Linked DNA regions of Macaca fascicularis. The protein of the gene in region 2 purifies or fractionates together with the protein of the main gene of each other region. This does not show direct contact. Links are inferred from orthologs where the notes say so. Each region holds a gene or a part of one and is shown on either strand. Other genes may lie near its edges.

The links. Proteins that work in one complex are often made in the same cells at the same time.
Region 1: the proteins of EIF3G (region 2) and EIF4G1 purify together in Homo sapiens (affinity purification with mass spectrometry; 3 studies listed by BioGRID, with this or other methods). This does not show direct contact. The link is inferred for Macaca fascicularis from reciprocal best matches to the Homo sapiens genes EIF3G and EIF4G1.

What each region holds. Positions count from the first base shown.
Region 1 is NC_088376.1:96,241,284-96,248,108, reverse strand, and holds part of EIF4G1 (eukaryotic translation initiation factor 4 gamma 1), read right to left. Parts: intron 6,072-6,825; coding exon 5,959-6,071; intron 5,129-5,958; coding exon 5,036-5,128; intron 4,832-5,035; coding exon 4,765-4,831; intron 4,467-4,764; coding exon 3,651-4,466; intron 3,596-3,650; exon of another isoform or gene 3,517-3,595; intron 3,387-3,516; coding exon 3,298-3,386; intron 3,206-3,297; coding exon 3,019-3,205; intron 2,931-3,018; coding exon 2,797-2,930; intron 2,669-2,796; coding exon 2,510-2,668; intron 2,344-2,509; coding exon 2,155-2,343; intron 1,969-2,154; coding exon 1,771-1,968; intron 1,549-1,770; coding exon 1,402-1,548; intron 872-1,401; coding exon 635-871; intron 482-634; coding exon 377-481; intron 271-376; coding exon 111-270; intron 55-110; exon of another isoform or gene 1-54.
Region 2 is NC_088393.1:10,661,699-10,669,208, forward strand, and holds the start of EIF3G (eukaryotic translation initiation factor 3 subunit G), read right to left. Parts: upstream 4,503-7,510; 5' UTR 4,443-4,502; coding exon 4,423-4,442; intron 4,284-4,422; coding exon 4,237-4,283; intron 3,746-4,236; coding exon 3,662-3,745; intron 3,554-3,661; coding exon 3,465-3,553; intron 3,355-3,464; coding exon 3,295-3,354; intron 1,863-3,294; coding exon 1,758-1,862; intron 1,666-1,757; coding exon 1,476-1,665; intron 738-1,475; coding exon 630-737; intron 502-629; coding exon 365-501; intron 265-364; coding exon 158-264; intron 34-157; exon of another isoform or gene 1-33. UniProt on the Homo sapiens protein: RNA-binding component of the eukaryotic translation initiation factor 3 (eIF-3) complex, which is required for several steps in the initiation of protein synthesis.

The sequences.
Region 1 (6,825 bases), on a different chromosome or scaffold from region 2:
CATGGGGTCTCAGTGGCCCAGACACGTGGCACTAACAGGAAGTCATCAGAGGAAAGTATAACCTCCCAGTCTCTTCACTGCTCCCTTCTCAATCCCAGCCTGGAACTCACTGATGGGCGGGCCTGGAGGGCCACCCCGACGCTTGTCACTGCCCTTGGCCATGAGCTGCTGCACTTTGATGTGCTCTCGATGTTCTTCCATCTCAGCCTCCTTATGGATCTGGTCAATGGTCTTGGGACCCTGATCCCCTCGGCGTGGCACCCAATTGCTCTGTGGAGACAGAAGGCCAGTCACGATGATGTCAGGGAAGGCCAGACAAGACAGTGTCAGAAACTGGAGGCAGCAGGCTGGCAGTGGGGAGGAGGGGGACACACACCCCTCGCAGATCCAGCACGTCCTGCAGCATAAAGCGGATGCGGGATGACGTCTTCTTTTCTTTGATGATTTTTTCCATCTGGTTGAAATACTGATCCATTCGGGGCTATGGAGGAGAAAGGCATCAGACCAGGAACTTCTCATGTCTCACCTATAACTGCAGGCCCCACCCCTCCCCTCAGGCCTTCCGCCTCGTCCCTGTGGCTCAGTGAGCCCCGCATGCTTCAGCCCATCCCCCTCCAGATGCAAGAACCTCTACCTTGGCTTTTTCAAAGTCCAGGTCTTTGCCAATGGTGGTAAGCAGACGACAAAGGCACTCAAGGGACTCTTCATCATGGTTCTTAAGCAGTTTGACCACACAGTCATGCATTATTGCCTCTGTTAACATCTTCAGCTTGAACAACTCCCCAATAAACTTGATATTCCCTAAAGAGCGCCGCCGGGCTATGTCCCGAGCCTCTTCCAGCTCTTCCTTAAGGCGTCCTCGTTCCTCTGCCTGCCATTCACATGACAGGGATTGTGTCAAAAAGATAGCCAGCCACTCTGCTAAAACCCTTTTCTACCTGGATATCCAAACTTAGCAATAAGCACTCAGTCCTGAGGCAGGCTGGCTGGGCATAGTGGCTCATGCCTGTAATCCCACCACTTTGGGAGACCGAGGCAGACAGATCACTTGAGGTCAGGAGTTTGAGACCAGCTTGGCCAACATGGTAAAACCCCGTCTCTACTAAAAATGCAAAAAAATTAGCCAGGTATGGTGGCACATGCCTGTAATCCCAGCTACTTGGGAGGCTGAGGCAGGAGAGTCGCTTGAACTCGGGAGGTGGAGGCTAGCCAAGATCACGCCACTGCACTCCAGCCTCGGTGACAGAGCGAGACTCTGTCTCAAAAAGGAAAAAAAAAAGTTCTGAGCCAGAGAAATCCCCAAGACACCACTATTTCCATTCCAAATTCTACAGTTGAGTAGAATCTGGGTGAGGGAAGGAGCTAAGTGGGGAGTGGAATCGGTAGTGGGTTTTCTCTCACCGTAGCAGCTTCATCCATCTCTTTTTGCTTCTTCTCAAAAACCTCATCATCATCTTTGTCTTTCTCAAACTCCTTCTGACATCGATTCAACAACAGCTTTCGGAAGTTTACAGTCACTGTTGGCTTTTCCGTAGTGGGCACTTTCAGCTGCAGGTCGGAGAGAATGTCACACTCAGACTAGTACTGGGCAGGGAAGGCCCTCCAAGAGCCTTTAACTACCTGACCCAGGAAGATATCTGGCCCCAGCTGTGCCTCCTTCCAGCTGGAAGAGGTGCAAGTTGGAGGAGAACCAAGAAGCTGGACTCAAGGAGTCTTGGGAATAGAAATGGGCAACTAGACCATAAGATTTAGAACCCAGTGGAAACTAACCGCCATGAGGCAGCGGCACATGTTGGCATAGGCCACAGAGAAGTTGGGCTCTGAAATGGCCTTCTCAAAAATGAGGTCAATGACCCCTTTGAGGCGTTCCTCGGTGTCAATGGCCAGCTGCGTCACTTGCTTCATCAGCTGCTGGAACATCTGGGGTGTCAGCTTATTCAGGATGGAGCGCACCCTGCGGAATAGGTCCTGGAGGAAGAGGAGACAAGAGTTCCAGTGAGGGTCTCAGAACAGGCTGTTCAGAGGGACAGGAGAGAGTGGTGGGGACTTAGGCATGACAGATGCTACTGATAAGGACAAAAAGCAGCAAAGAGGGCACTGACAGCAGACATGGAAAAGAAATGGAGAGAGACCAAAAGCAGGACTCGCCAGTACCTGGGTTTTGCTGCCATCAGCATCCTCTTCCCCTCGGTCCTTATCAGCTGCCGTCCGCTTGCTGCTGGGTTTCCAGGCTTTCTCTGCTTTGTTCAGTTTTATATCTTCGGTCATTAACACTGTGGCAATGATCTTGCGTGGTTCTTTTCGGGTGCCCTGCTGAGAGCGCCGGGGTCCCAGGCCAGCCTGCTAAGCAAGAGATGAAGACAAGAGGGGACGTGGAACTAGTCAGCACAATATGTGATACCACTACTACACGCCTCCAGGGCAAAACCCTCCCCGTCAGCACTGAGACACAGGGGAATCATCCACTCCCACTCCTTACCCACCTGCCCCTTTACCCAGCCCCACTCACCGGCCCTCGGGGCAGCTCCCCACCTGGCCCACCCCTTGGGGGCCCACGGGTGCTAAGGGCTGGCCGGCCAAGGTTGGCAAAGGATGGAGTGAAGTCTGGGCCATAATTTATGCCTTGTAGTCTAGTGGGGTCCAGTGGTCGCAGTGGTGTTTTATTGGCCTGCAAAGAGGACAGGAAAAGGTCTTAGAAGCAGGCTAGAGCAGTTGACTACTCTTTCAGGACCTCAGGCTCCTCCCCAATCCATCCAGCACAAACTTATCGTCCCCTCCCTGACTCAAGCCACTAACCTTGTCCAGCACCACATCACTGATATGGGGCAATCCCTCTGGCTTCTGCATACTGGCAAAGATGAACTGAAAACCAAGCAGGAACTCACGGTCGTAACGTTTTTTCTCCTCTAGATTTAGAGGCTTCCACTGATCTGCGAGGAAGAGAATGAAGCAATCATACTGTCTTCTCTGGCCCTAATAAGAAAACTCAAGTCATTCTCAACCCTTTCTTCAGCATACCTGACTTATATTCATACTTCTGTTCCCCGGGCTGGATGTTCTCAGCATTGTGAATTTTGTCTTCCTTTGAGTCCCAGGTCTCATCTGCTTCCTCAGGACGTGGGGGCACACCACTGCCCTCAGACTCTGGGCCTGGATTGCTGCCTGCAGGAGGCTGATTTTCCACCTCTGGTACTGCCGGGTTTGCCTAGAACAACAGAACACCAGTTTTGGTTGCACAATGACCACTGTTCCATACCTCAACTTGGCCCTCTCCCCTTCCGTTTTCTGCTCCCTTACCTCCTTGAAGGCATCCAGAAGGTCTCCAACAGCCTCCTTCTTATTTAGCTCCTTAATTTTCCGTCTCCTCTTTGGCACAGATACTGCCACTAATTTTAAAAAATAAATAAAAGCATGGGTCTTTGCCAATAATTTAAGGAGTACCCTTAATCCCTGGGAAATAAAAAGCAGCCAAAGTACATATTTCCCCTTTGCATCACAGTCTTCAGGCTTAAAAGTCCTTAATCTAGTTCTTAGATTCCATTGCAGGGCCTCTATGACCCAGAAACATGGCAAAAACGGGAGGTCATCAAGGAGGGCAAGGAACCACATCCCCTAGCCCACCCTACCTCTACTGCCCAACCAATCCTTACCTTGAGTGGCCGCTGCTGCCTCCAAATTCTGAGACAAGTTGGCTGGAACAGGGGTGCTCTCTGAGGGGAGCAGTTCCTCTCCTCCCTTCTCACTCTCAGCTTCTCCTGCTTCTCCTTCTTCCTCTTCTTCTTCTTCTTCTTCCATTTCCTCCTCCTGAGCGGGGGAAGTAGCTGAAGGAGCCATAGCTGGAGTGGCAGAGAGGATGGTGGCGGGCGCCACTGATGCTGTCACCTCCTTGGCCTGCTCCTCTGGCTCACTGACTGGGCTTAAGTCCACAGCTGGTGGCGAGGGGGCTCCGTTGAGCAGTTCCTCAGGTTGGGCAGTTGGAGCAATGGGCACAGGGGATTCGGAGGGGCAAGCTGGTGGAAGAGCAAGCTCTGGGCTGGACTCCACCTCTGGTTCCAGATCTTCAGATGGGACCATGCCATTAGGCTCATGAATTTCCACTGTGTGAGATGCCAGAGGAGTGGAAGCCTGGAGAGGACTGGAAGAGAATTCAGATTCTGGAACCGGTTTGCTAAGTGTCACTTCTACTTCCAGTATGGGTTCGGCGAGAGGAGTGGGTTCTGGAGAGAGGCGATATGGCTCCCCAGTTTCACGGGAGATGGGGGTTGATTCTTCTACAGACATTTGTATAGTTGCCATAGTGTCCCCAGGAATAGAGAGGACTGCGAGATTAGGCTCAGACCCCGGTTCCAAGACTGGGGATGGTGATGGGGTCGGAGAAGGTGACGAAGGCTGGGATTCTGAAGGGCTGTGCTCTGGGCCAGGCAGCCCTGGCCGGTCAGCAATGATTGCTCCCTGTGACCGGTCATCTGCACCATAGGAAGGAAGAATGAGCAACTAAAGGCAAGTGCTTCACTGCTGTTGTTCCTCCCCATCCTCCAGCCAAGGTATTTCCAACTTAACACTCCCACGTCATCATCTCCCACCTAAGCTATACTTCCACTTTCATCCAAAACCCAATTCACCCTCAAAATCCCACGACCTGAAATCTAAGTCATCCTTCTCTGGTACCCAGTTCAAGTCACTCCACCACCTCAGCATTGAGGTGACAGCAAACTGTCAACATTCCCTTTCCCCGTAAAAGTTCCATCCCACCCGCTTACTTACCTGGCCGGACAATGACAGCAACCTGGGGCGTCTCCCCATTAGCTTGAGGCTCCAGACCGCCTCCCGTCTGCAGGACACAAAGGGTTACCAAGTTTGCACTGAAGAGTCCCACAACCCTTCTTTACTAGAGCCATTTCTACTTTAGCTCTGCCTAGAAATCCAGGAAAGCAGGGAAATAAATCCCTTAGTTGAAAGAAAAGATCCAGAGACTTGGGAGTCCAGGGCAGAACAGACATCCCAGTCAGGGTATCGCTCAAAAAACAGACAGTACCTGGGGAGGGGTGGGTGTGGAGGCAGTGCGGGCCCCAGACATGATCTCCTCCGTGATATCCTTTCCTCCTTGGTTTGGATCTCGAATTCGGATCTGGGGAAAGAAAGTTATGGGATGAGTGGGAAGCAGGAAGAGCCCACCTCTCCACCCTGCCCCACTCTTAAGACTCTGGGCCAACTCCCCACCCCACACTGGGAAGCAGGTAGGTAGGTGCCAGAAACCCCTTGAGTTCCACTTTCAGCCCATCTGGCTGCTCTTGTAGTCCCTGCCCTAGCTCCCACCCTTAAGAGACCCTTGACCTCACAAAGCAGCCCTGTACATCACAATGCCCCTCCCTCCCTCATCCCTACCCCACCAGCAGTCCCCAAGCCAGTGGCTGCACACCCTGGGGCCCAAGACCCCCATCTAGCACCCAATCGGCTCACTTGTGGCTAGTGTGCCTGATCTCTGGGGGCAGGGCCCAGATCCAGTAGGTGGAGCCAGGGTGACTCAGCGGCTTCCCCAGCTCTGGCACCCTATTCTGGGCACCACGCCCAGGGCTTGAGGACTGAGCAGAGGCGGAGGCCTTGAGAGCTTCCAGGACTTGTGGGGGGGGCCGGGTGGGGATGGGGGCTGGGGCCACAGAAAACAAACCATTTCCAAGGCAAGCCACCAGAAGCCCAAAAGCAAGCACAGTTCTTCCAACCTCCCAGCACCCAGGTCTCACAGGAACTTCCTCGCTAGCCACTTCAGTCTTCCCATGACCTGCTTCTATGCTAAAATCTTAGTATCTTACAAAGAACCTGAGCCCTCCACAGACCCCATTCTCTGCCCACTCTCAGCTCCTTCCTCAAGTCACTGTTCTTTCCGGCACAATGTCCCAGCAGCATCTGACCTTGATTCTCCCCTTCCCAGATGTCCCGGAGCCCCTCGCTGCTACTCACCGTCTTACGTTCCCTCTTGGGAGCAATCTGGGGTGGCTGGTTCATCAAAACTGGGGCGGGGGCCACACCAGTGGGAAACTGCTGCACCCCTTGGGCTGGATAGTAGGCGCCAGCTTGGGGGAGGGGGACGGAGAAGAATGGTGGTAGCGTCAGGGCCCAACCATATCCTAATGCCTGCTTGACACCTCCCACCCCAAAACCTCTCAACACCCACAGCCGGCCCCTTGCCCTGCCCTGCCCTCCTCCCCCAGGGAATCAGGTGTCTGTCAAAGCTGGGGAACCAGTCTGAACTGCGTTTACAAGAATTCCTAACACTGACACACACACATACACACATCTCATAGGCAGGCACTCCTTACCCACCACACACCAGCAACCAAGAGGACTTATGTCTGTCCTTCTACCGTACAAGGTACTCTCATGTAGGTACCCCACCCGCTATCAACGTGTACACACATACTCTGAACCTGAAACAGAACCAGGTCTTTGGCTGGGAATGAAAGAGATTTGACAACCCTGTTCCATTTAACTTGAGTCCAGTTCCTGTCTCCAGCCCTTTACAAAGGGGCAAAGAAACAAAGTAACATTATGAGCTAGGCTCAATATGAAGAAAAATTAATTCCTTAAAGCAAACTATCTCCAAAGTGGGGTGCGTTCTTTTTTTCCCCTTAAATATATATGCATTTTTTTGAGATGGAGTCTCACTCTGTTGCCTAGGCTGGAATACAGTGGCACAGTCCTGGTTCACTGCAACCTCCACGTCCCAGGTTCAAGTGATCCTCCTGCCTCAGCCTCCCGAATAGTGGGGATTACAAGACTGCACCACCACGCCCGACTAATTTTTGTATTTTTAGTTGAGACGGGGCC
Region 2 (7,510 bases):
GGAGAAAAACAATAAAGGACTGTCCCCTCAAAACCAGCTGGGGGACTGCTAAATTGGCACACGGCCACTGGTTGGCCCAAGGTTCCGTGGAGGTGCTGGGACGAGGTGGGGAGCAGGGGCTGGGGTGGGGAGGGGTGGGGCGGGGGTGGAGTCTTACTTGGCCCACTCGACATTGAGAATGAGGTGGTCGTAGCCGAAGCCAGACACCCCGGCGATGGCGCGCGCGGCATCCTCACGGCGGTGGAAGCTGATGAAGGCGAAGCCCTGTGCAGGGGCGGGGTGGGGTCAGGGGCACAAACTAGGACAGGCGACCCCAGGACAGGTGACCCTCACACAGCCCCGTCGCACCCGCCTGCCTGCCCACCTTGGACTGGCCGGTGGTCTTGTCCTTAGCCAGGTAGATGCGGGAAATGGAGCCGAAAGGCCGGAAGAGCTCCTGCAGGTCGGTCTCACGTGTGTCCTCTGACAAGTTGGTGACACGGATGGTGGCGTTGTCGTCGGCTGTGTGGGAGAGGGGAGGTGGCTGTGAGGGGGAGGCCCCTGCCCGGCCCTTGTGTGCATGCTTTGGGGATAATTACGAGGTGCCGGGAGATGCCCACCCACCAGCCTGGCATCAGGGTGCCCCTCACCTCTGCGGTTGGGCTGCATGGACTCCCCGCGGCGGCTGGCCCCGTCGCGCAGGCTTGGTGGCACGTACTTCCCTGTCTTGTTCTGCGTGGCCTGCACCGGCTCCAGCTCTGGGGACCAAAAGACAGTCAACTGAGTTCAACCTCACCCTGGCGCAGGAACAGGGACACAGCCGCCCCAGGAGGCTCAGGCTTCAGTGCTGACCCAGCGCAGGCACCGTGTGCCAAGCCACAGGCAGCCAGTTGGCCACGAGGACACCAAGGTGACACCTAGGAAGCTGACACCATTTGAGCTCCTGGCCGGTGACAATGGCGGAGGAAGAGGGAGCCCTGACCCCACCCCAGAGAGGGTGGGTTGGGGGGGTGGCGACGGGAATGGCAGCCTCACATCCACAGCGACAGCAGGCATGGGACACACGACAGGAACAGTGCCCAGGTTTCCCTCGCATGGTAGGCGACAAATGCACGTCTCCACTCTCACACTCACCACCAGCAATCCCACCAAAAGATTCAGACGTTACAGCCACAGGCATGCAACGGAGACACTACACACACAGTGTGTACACACAAGGGCCGACAGACAGCAGCTCCCATCAGGACAGTCATAGGGCCACCAGCAGAGTCACAGCTGCCAAGTCACACATACACGAGAGACGCCGGTCTCCCAACCACAGGAGGTACAGCCAATTAGGAAGGCACAGACGCCCTGAGAAGAGTCGGGCGCCATCAACCCTGCCACGCTGTCGTGTGGGAGATGACAGCACAAAGGCAGCACTGGGGACAGAACCCGCGCACTGACAGCAGGACCCCCCGCCCCCGCCATGGCAGCCAGCATCCCCAGCCCCGCACCTCCCGGCAGCTTCTCCTTCTCGCCGGTAGACAGGCCCAGCTGCTCGGCCAGCTCCTTCTGCATGGGACCCAGCGTGTCCTTGTAGGGGCAGCGGGTGGTCCAGTGGTCGCCCTTGCAGATGCGGCAAGACACGATCTTCTGGCCCTTGAGTTTGTTCATGGGGTCCTCCTCCTCCTGGCAGTTCAGGTCCTGGCAGGGGCGGGTTGTGGGAGCTCAGAGGCGGCTGAGGCACCCCCTGTGCCCCACCCCAGCACGCCAGCCCCCCCGAACGCCCTGCTCACCTCTTTGCTGGTGATGAACGTCATAGAGACGTCATCACTGACGGTGGTGGTGGCCACATTGGGTCCCGGGGGGTCAAACTCCGAGTTCCCGAACTTCTTCCAGTTCTGGGCTCAGGGGGGGATGGGGGACAGTTGAGGGCAGGGGCAGGCAGGGTTCCACAGTGGGGTACCCTAGACCTACAGCAGCCATCCCCAGAGTACCTGGGCCTCGAACCCCATTTTCATCCTCCTCAACCACTCCCCAAATAGTCCTGGCGACAGTTCCCATTTCCTGAGTACACGCCAGGCCCAAGCTCCAGGTGACAGCTGTACAGCCTGGGGCCTGTGCAGGCTGGCGGACCAGCTCCCACCAGGGCGTGATACTCAGGGATGTGCAGGGGTCTACCCAGACCTCCGGGCCCTTGAGCTAGACAACCTGAGCCTCAGCTTCCTCCCTTCCTCCCTTATCAAACGGGAACCACAAAAGCTTCCTGCCTCCCTGGGCTCCTAAGGAGACTGAATCAGAGAGACACTCCCTGCAAGGCGTTTGCCATGGGGCATGTTACAATTAAGTGCACAGCAAGCTGTTCTAAGTGTATTTATTGCTAATGCCTCTAACTGCTGCGACCACCTCCTGCCTCTGTTCCTCCAGGCTGACAGGCCAAGAGGAACAAGAATCTAACCCCGGCTGGGCCCGGTGGCTCCCTCCTGTAATCCCAGCACTTTGAGAGGCAAAGGTGGGAGGATCTCTTAAGCCCAGGAGCTGGAGACCAGCCTGGGCAACATAGTGAAACCCCATCTCTACAAATAATTAAAATTAGCCGGGTGTGGCAGTGCACACCTGTAATCCCAGGTTGGCTTGAGCCTGGGAGTTCAAGGCTGCAGTAAGCTATGATCGTGCCACTGCACTCCAACCTGGGCAACAGAACTGGACCCTGTGTCTTTAAAAAAATTAAAAGAATCTAACTTTCACTCGATATTTATAATGGAATTTATTTGACATTTATTAATATAATTTGATATCTATCATCAAACTTTTATTAGATATTTATCATTTATTTAATCGCTATTTATCATCGACTCCTATGCCCTGGACTTTCCAGAGTCCCAAGAGAGTGTAAGCACTCCAGGCCTCAGTTCAGCTTCAACAAAATAGGTACAAAGAGTTAAGCCCGGCTGGGTGCGATGGCTCACGGCTGTAATCCCAACACTTTGGGAGGCCGAGGCAGGTGGATAACGTGAGGTCAGGAGTTCGAGACGAGCCTGGCCAACATGGCAAAACCCCGTCTCTACTAAAAGTACAAAAATCAGCTGGGCGTGGTGGCGCATGCCTGTAATCCCAGCTACTCAGGAGGCTGAGGCAGGAGAATCACTTGAACCCAGGAGGCGGAGGTTGCAGTGAGTCGAGATCGTGCCACTGCACTACAGCCTGGGGGACAGAGCGACACTCTGTCTCAAAAAAAAAAAAAAAAGAGTTAAGCCCCATCTCTTAACAAAAAGGTCCCGGAGCACGGTTTCCCAATTCCTCTGGGTTAGCCCTGGGGAAGGAGCGCCTCACCTTCCTCCTTGCAACAGCCTTTGAAGCCTTCCGGGTCTCAATCCTGAAGGTGCGGACAATCTGAGGATGGCAGGGGAGAAGGGTCAGGCTTCTGGGACTAGGGGATCTCCTTTACCAACCCCCTCAGCATACCCCGCCGCCTTCTGGTCTAAGGGCCCCCCTACCCTCACCTTGAACTTCTTGCCATCCTCATCTATCTTGTACTCTGTCACTGTCTTTATGTTTCCGTTGATGACTTCCTTGGGAGGTGGCAGTGGAGCTGGGAGAAGGGGAAAAACAGAAGGACTGAGCCCTGGGTCATGGGGATCAGGAGCGGCAGGGCTGGAGGGAGAGGCAGCCCGGACACGGAGTGGCAGTCCTCACTCACCTCCCGGCAGTAGCTCTGGCTCTGGGCTGGTGTCGCCAGTGGCCAGAGGGATCCCCTTGAGGAGCTCGCTGGTGACACATTTGTCTGCAAGAGGCAGCGTGGGGAGGAGGGGTCAGGTCCAGGGCAGGAGCTCCCCAGCTGCGATGGAAGGGCCTTTGGGATGATGCCTACAGCAAGAGCTGAGAAAGGCAGGTCAAGGGCAGAGGGCTGACCAGGCAGCGCACTGGGATAGCCCTGTGGGGACTTGGAGTGGCAAAGATGGGGGATCCCTCGTAGGAAGGTGGGTGCCAGGCCATGAAGCCAACCAGGCGCCAGTAGAGAAACAGGAGACGGGAGATTACAACTTCCTCCCTGGAGTAAGGCAACAGCTGGGAGGACTTCGGCAGTAACATGGGAGGAACAGGGACCCGCCGGGGAACACCTGGAGTTGGCAACAGGCAGGTCCCAAGGAGGATGGCGCGGGGCAGGGGCTGGTCGTGACGGGGGACACGGTGCCAGACTGCGAGATGGAAGCAGGCGTCAGTCGCCCGGCTCGGGCCTGGCCGCGATTACCCCGCGCGACCGGGTACACTTACCGTCCTCCCCCTCCTCCTCCACCTGGTCAGCCCAACTGGGCTTCGAACTGCGGAAACAAATGTGTGGGAAGCGAAGATTAAGTCAGCAAGGCCCGGTCCCCGCAGCCTCGGCACACCCAGGCCCCATAATACTGCCCAGAGCACCCCAACCGCTTCCCATGCCCCCCTCCGCGATCCCGGACTCACTCAAAGTCTCCAGTAGGCATCGCAAAAAGTATTCTCCACGCAGCCCAAGCCTGGCCAGAGAGCGGAAGTGGGTGGAAAACGAGACTTCCGGTGTCGCCGTCGCCGCTAGAGAGGCCCAGCCGCGGCACCCACAACGACACCTGCGGACGGAGGTGGAGGCGCACGCGGCTGTGTGTGCTGCTGAACGCTGCTGGTACCAGAGCAGGGCTGGCGGGGCAGAGGCTGATTTCAGTGCTGGTCCTATTAACCTTTAAAATTAAAATAGGCGGGGCGCGGTGGCTCAAGCCTGTAATCCCCTCACTTTGGGAGATCGAGGCGGGCGGATCACCTGAGGTAAGGAGTTCGAGACCAGCTTGGCCAACGTGGCGAAACCCCGTCACTACTAAAAATACAAAAATTAGCTGGGCGTGGTAGTGCGCGTCTGTAGTCCTAGCTACAGATTGGAGGCTGAGGCAGGAGAATCGCTTGAACCCGGGAGGTGGAGGTTGCAGTGAGCTGAGATTGCGCCACTGCACTCCACCCTGGCGACAGAGCGAGACACCGTCTCAAAAAAAAAAACAAAACAAAAAAAACCCCACACACACAAAAAACCAAAATTAGCCAGGCGTGGTGGCGGGCGCCTATAATCCCAGGGACTCGGGAGGCTGAGGCGGGAGAATCGCTTGAACCCACGAGGCGGAGGCTGCAGTGAGCCGAAATCACACCACTGCAGTCTAGCCTGGGCTGCAGAGTGAGACTCTGTCTGAGAAAAAGAAGTAAAATTAAAATAAATAATAATAATCATAACAAGGCTCACTTATTGAGTGCTTGTTGTATATGAAGCACGGTGAGGAGGATATTACTTCCATTTTACAGCTGAGGAAACTGAGGCTCAGACTGGGTCCGGTGGCGCATGCCTGTAATCCCGCACTTTGGGAGACTGAGGTGTGGGGATCGCTTGAGGCCAGGAGTTTGAGACCAGCCTGGGCAGCATAGTGAGAACCCCTGTCTCTAAAACAGAAAAAAAAAGAAAAAAGAAACCAAAGCTCAGGGAAAACAATCCTTTTGCTTAAACTGTTCCTTATCTTCTTTCCCGATCTCAATGATTCAGATGCCAAGTCGCCCCCCTCCCCAGCCACTCCCTCTTCTTTTCTTTGTAGCATTCTTGGCTTTCCGGTATAATTTTGTGCATTTACTTCTTTATGGCTCAGCTGCTTGCTCTAAGCACAACCGTCCTCAGTTGGAGTGATTCATGATGACTCCCCAGGGGAAAAAACTGCTTTTCAGGGAGGAAAAAAATCTTAGATATTGTGGTCTTCTAAAGCCAGCTCTATCAGCCATCTTATTCCTAAGTATTTAGTTTCTGCCTTTAGGGAGATATTAAATGTAATTATATTGAAATTAATTTAGTTGATGTAAATTCAATTTTAGAATAATTCGGGTTTTCTCCTAAGGAGGGTGATATGAACAAAAAAAGTTTGACAATGCCGGATGCAGTGGCTTACAGGTGTAATCCCAGCACTTTGAGAGGCCGAGGCGGGCAGATCTCTTGAGGTCAGGAGTTCAAGACCAGCCTGGGCAACATGGCGAAACCCGTCTTTACTAAAAATACAAAAATTAGTTGGGTGTTGTGGCCCGCGCCTGTAATCCCAGCACTTTGGGAGACTGAGGCAGAAGGATCACTTGAGCCCCGGAGTTCGACCAGCCTGGGCAACACATAGCAAGACCCCCATCTCTAAAACACATTTTTTTTGGGGGGGGATGCAGTCTCACTCTGTCGCCCAGTCTGGAGTGCAGTGGCACAATCTTGGATCACTGCAACCTCTGCCTCCCGGGTTCTAGAGATTCTCCTGCCTTAGCCTCCCGAATAGCTGGGATTACAGACTACGGCCACCATGTCGTGCTAATTTTTGTATTTTTAGTAGAGATAGTAGAGACAGGGGCCCGCCTCAGCCTCCCAAGGTGCTGGGATTACAGTTGTGAGCCTGGCCCCTAAAAAAAAAAAACAAAAAAAAAAAGAAAACAACAACTTTAAAAAAATTAGCTGGGCATAATTCTGTGTGCCTGTAGTCCCAGATACTTAGGAGGCTGACGTGGGAGAATAGCTTCAGTCCAGGAGGTTGAGCCATGATCACACCACTGCACTTCAGCCTAGGCAACAGAGCGAGACTCTGTCTCGAAAACACAGACACAGACACACACACACACACACAGACACATACATGCAACAAACAAAACAAAACAAACTTGTAAGGGAGAATGGCCTGAGAAAAATAAAGAAGAAGACAGGAAAAACAAAGTTTATGCTGTTTATCCTCTGAGGTGTGAGTGAGGAGGCCACTCAAGGGTTTAGAATATCACCAGCTTTTCTTGTGGAAAAAATTATTCTAGAAGCCTGTAGAGACCCAAGTGGAAGGAAAAACATTAGCTGGAGGCAGGAAAGAGAGGCACACCGCTGCGGTTTGCGGCGGTTTTTCAGGAGGGTGTCCTGGCTATGTATATTGGTGAAAATATGAAGCTGGTCCAAAGGGCTGATAAACATTTGTACAAGCTTACTCAAATGTACTCTGAGCAACACAAAATCCAAACAACCTAGCAGATTGGGCAAAGCTTTAAAAATTTGATATCACCCAGTGGTAGTAAAGATGTTGTAGGGAAACAGGCCAGGCGCGGTGGCTCACGCCTGTAATCCCAGCACTTGGGGAGGCTGAGGTGGGTGGATCACCTGAGGTCAGGAGTTTGAGACCAGCCTGGAAAGCATGGTGAAACCTCATCTATACTAAAAATACAAAAATTCACTGGGCATGGTGGTGGCGGGCGCCTGTGATCCCAACTACTTGGGAGACTGAGTCAGAAGGATCACTTGAACCTGGGAGACAGAGGTTGCAGTAAGCCAAGATTGCCCCACTGCACTCCAGCCTGGGTGACAGAGCAAGCCTCTGTCTCAAAAAAAGAAAAAAACAAGCACGTATGAATTTTCCTTTGAACCAGCTAATAATTCCTGCTGCGAATAAACTTGTAAATATATGCAAAGATGTAAGTAAAATGTCTGCAGTATTGTTTATGATAGCAAAAACTGGAAACACTCATCCACCATCCATAGGGACTA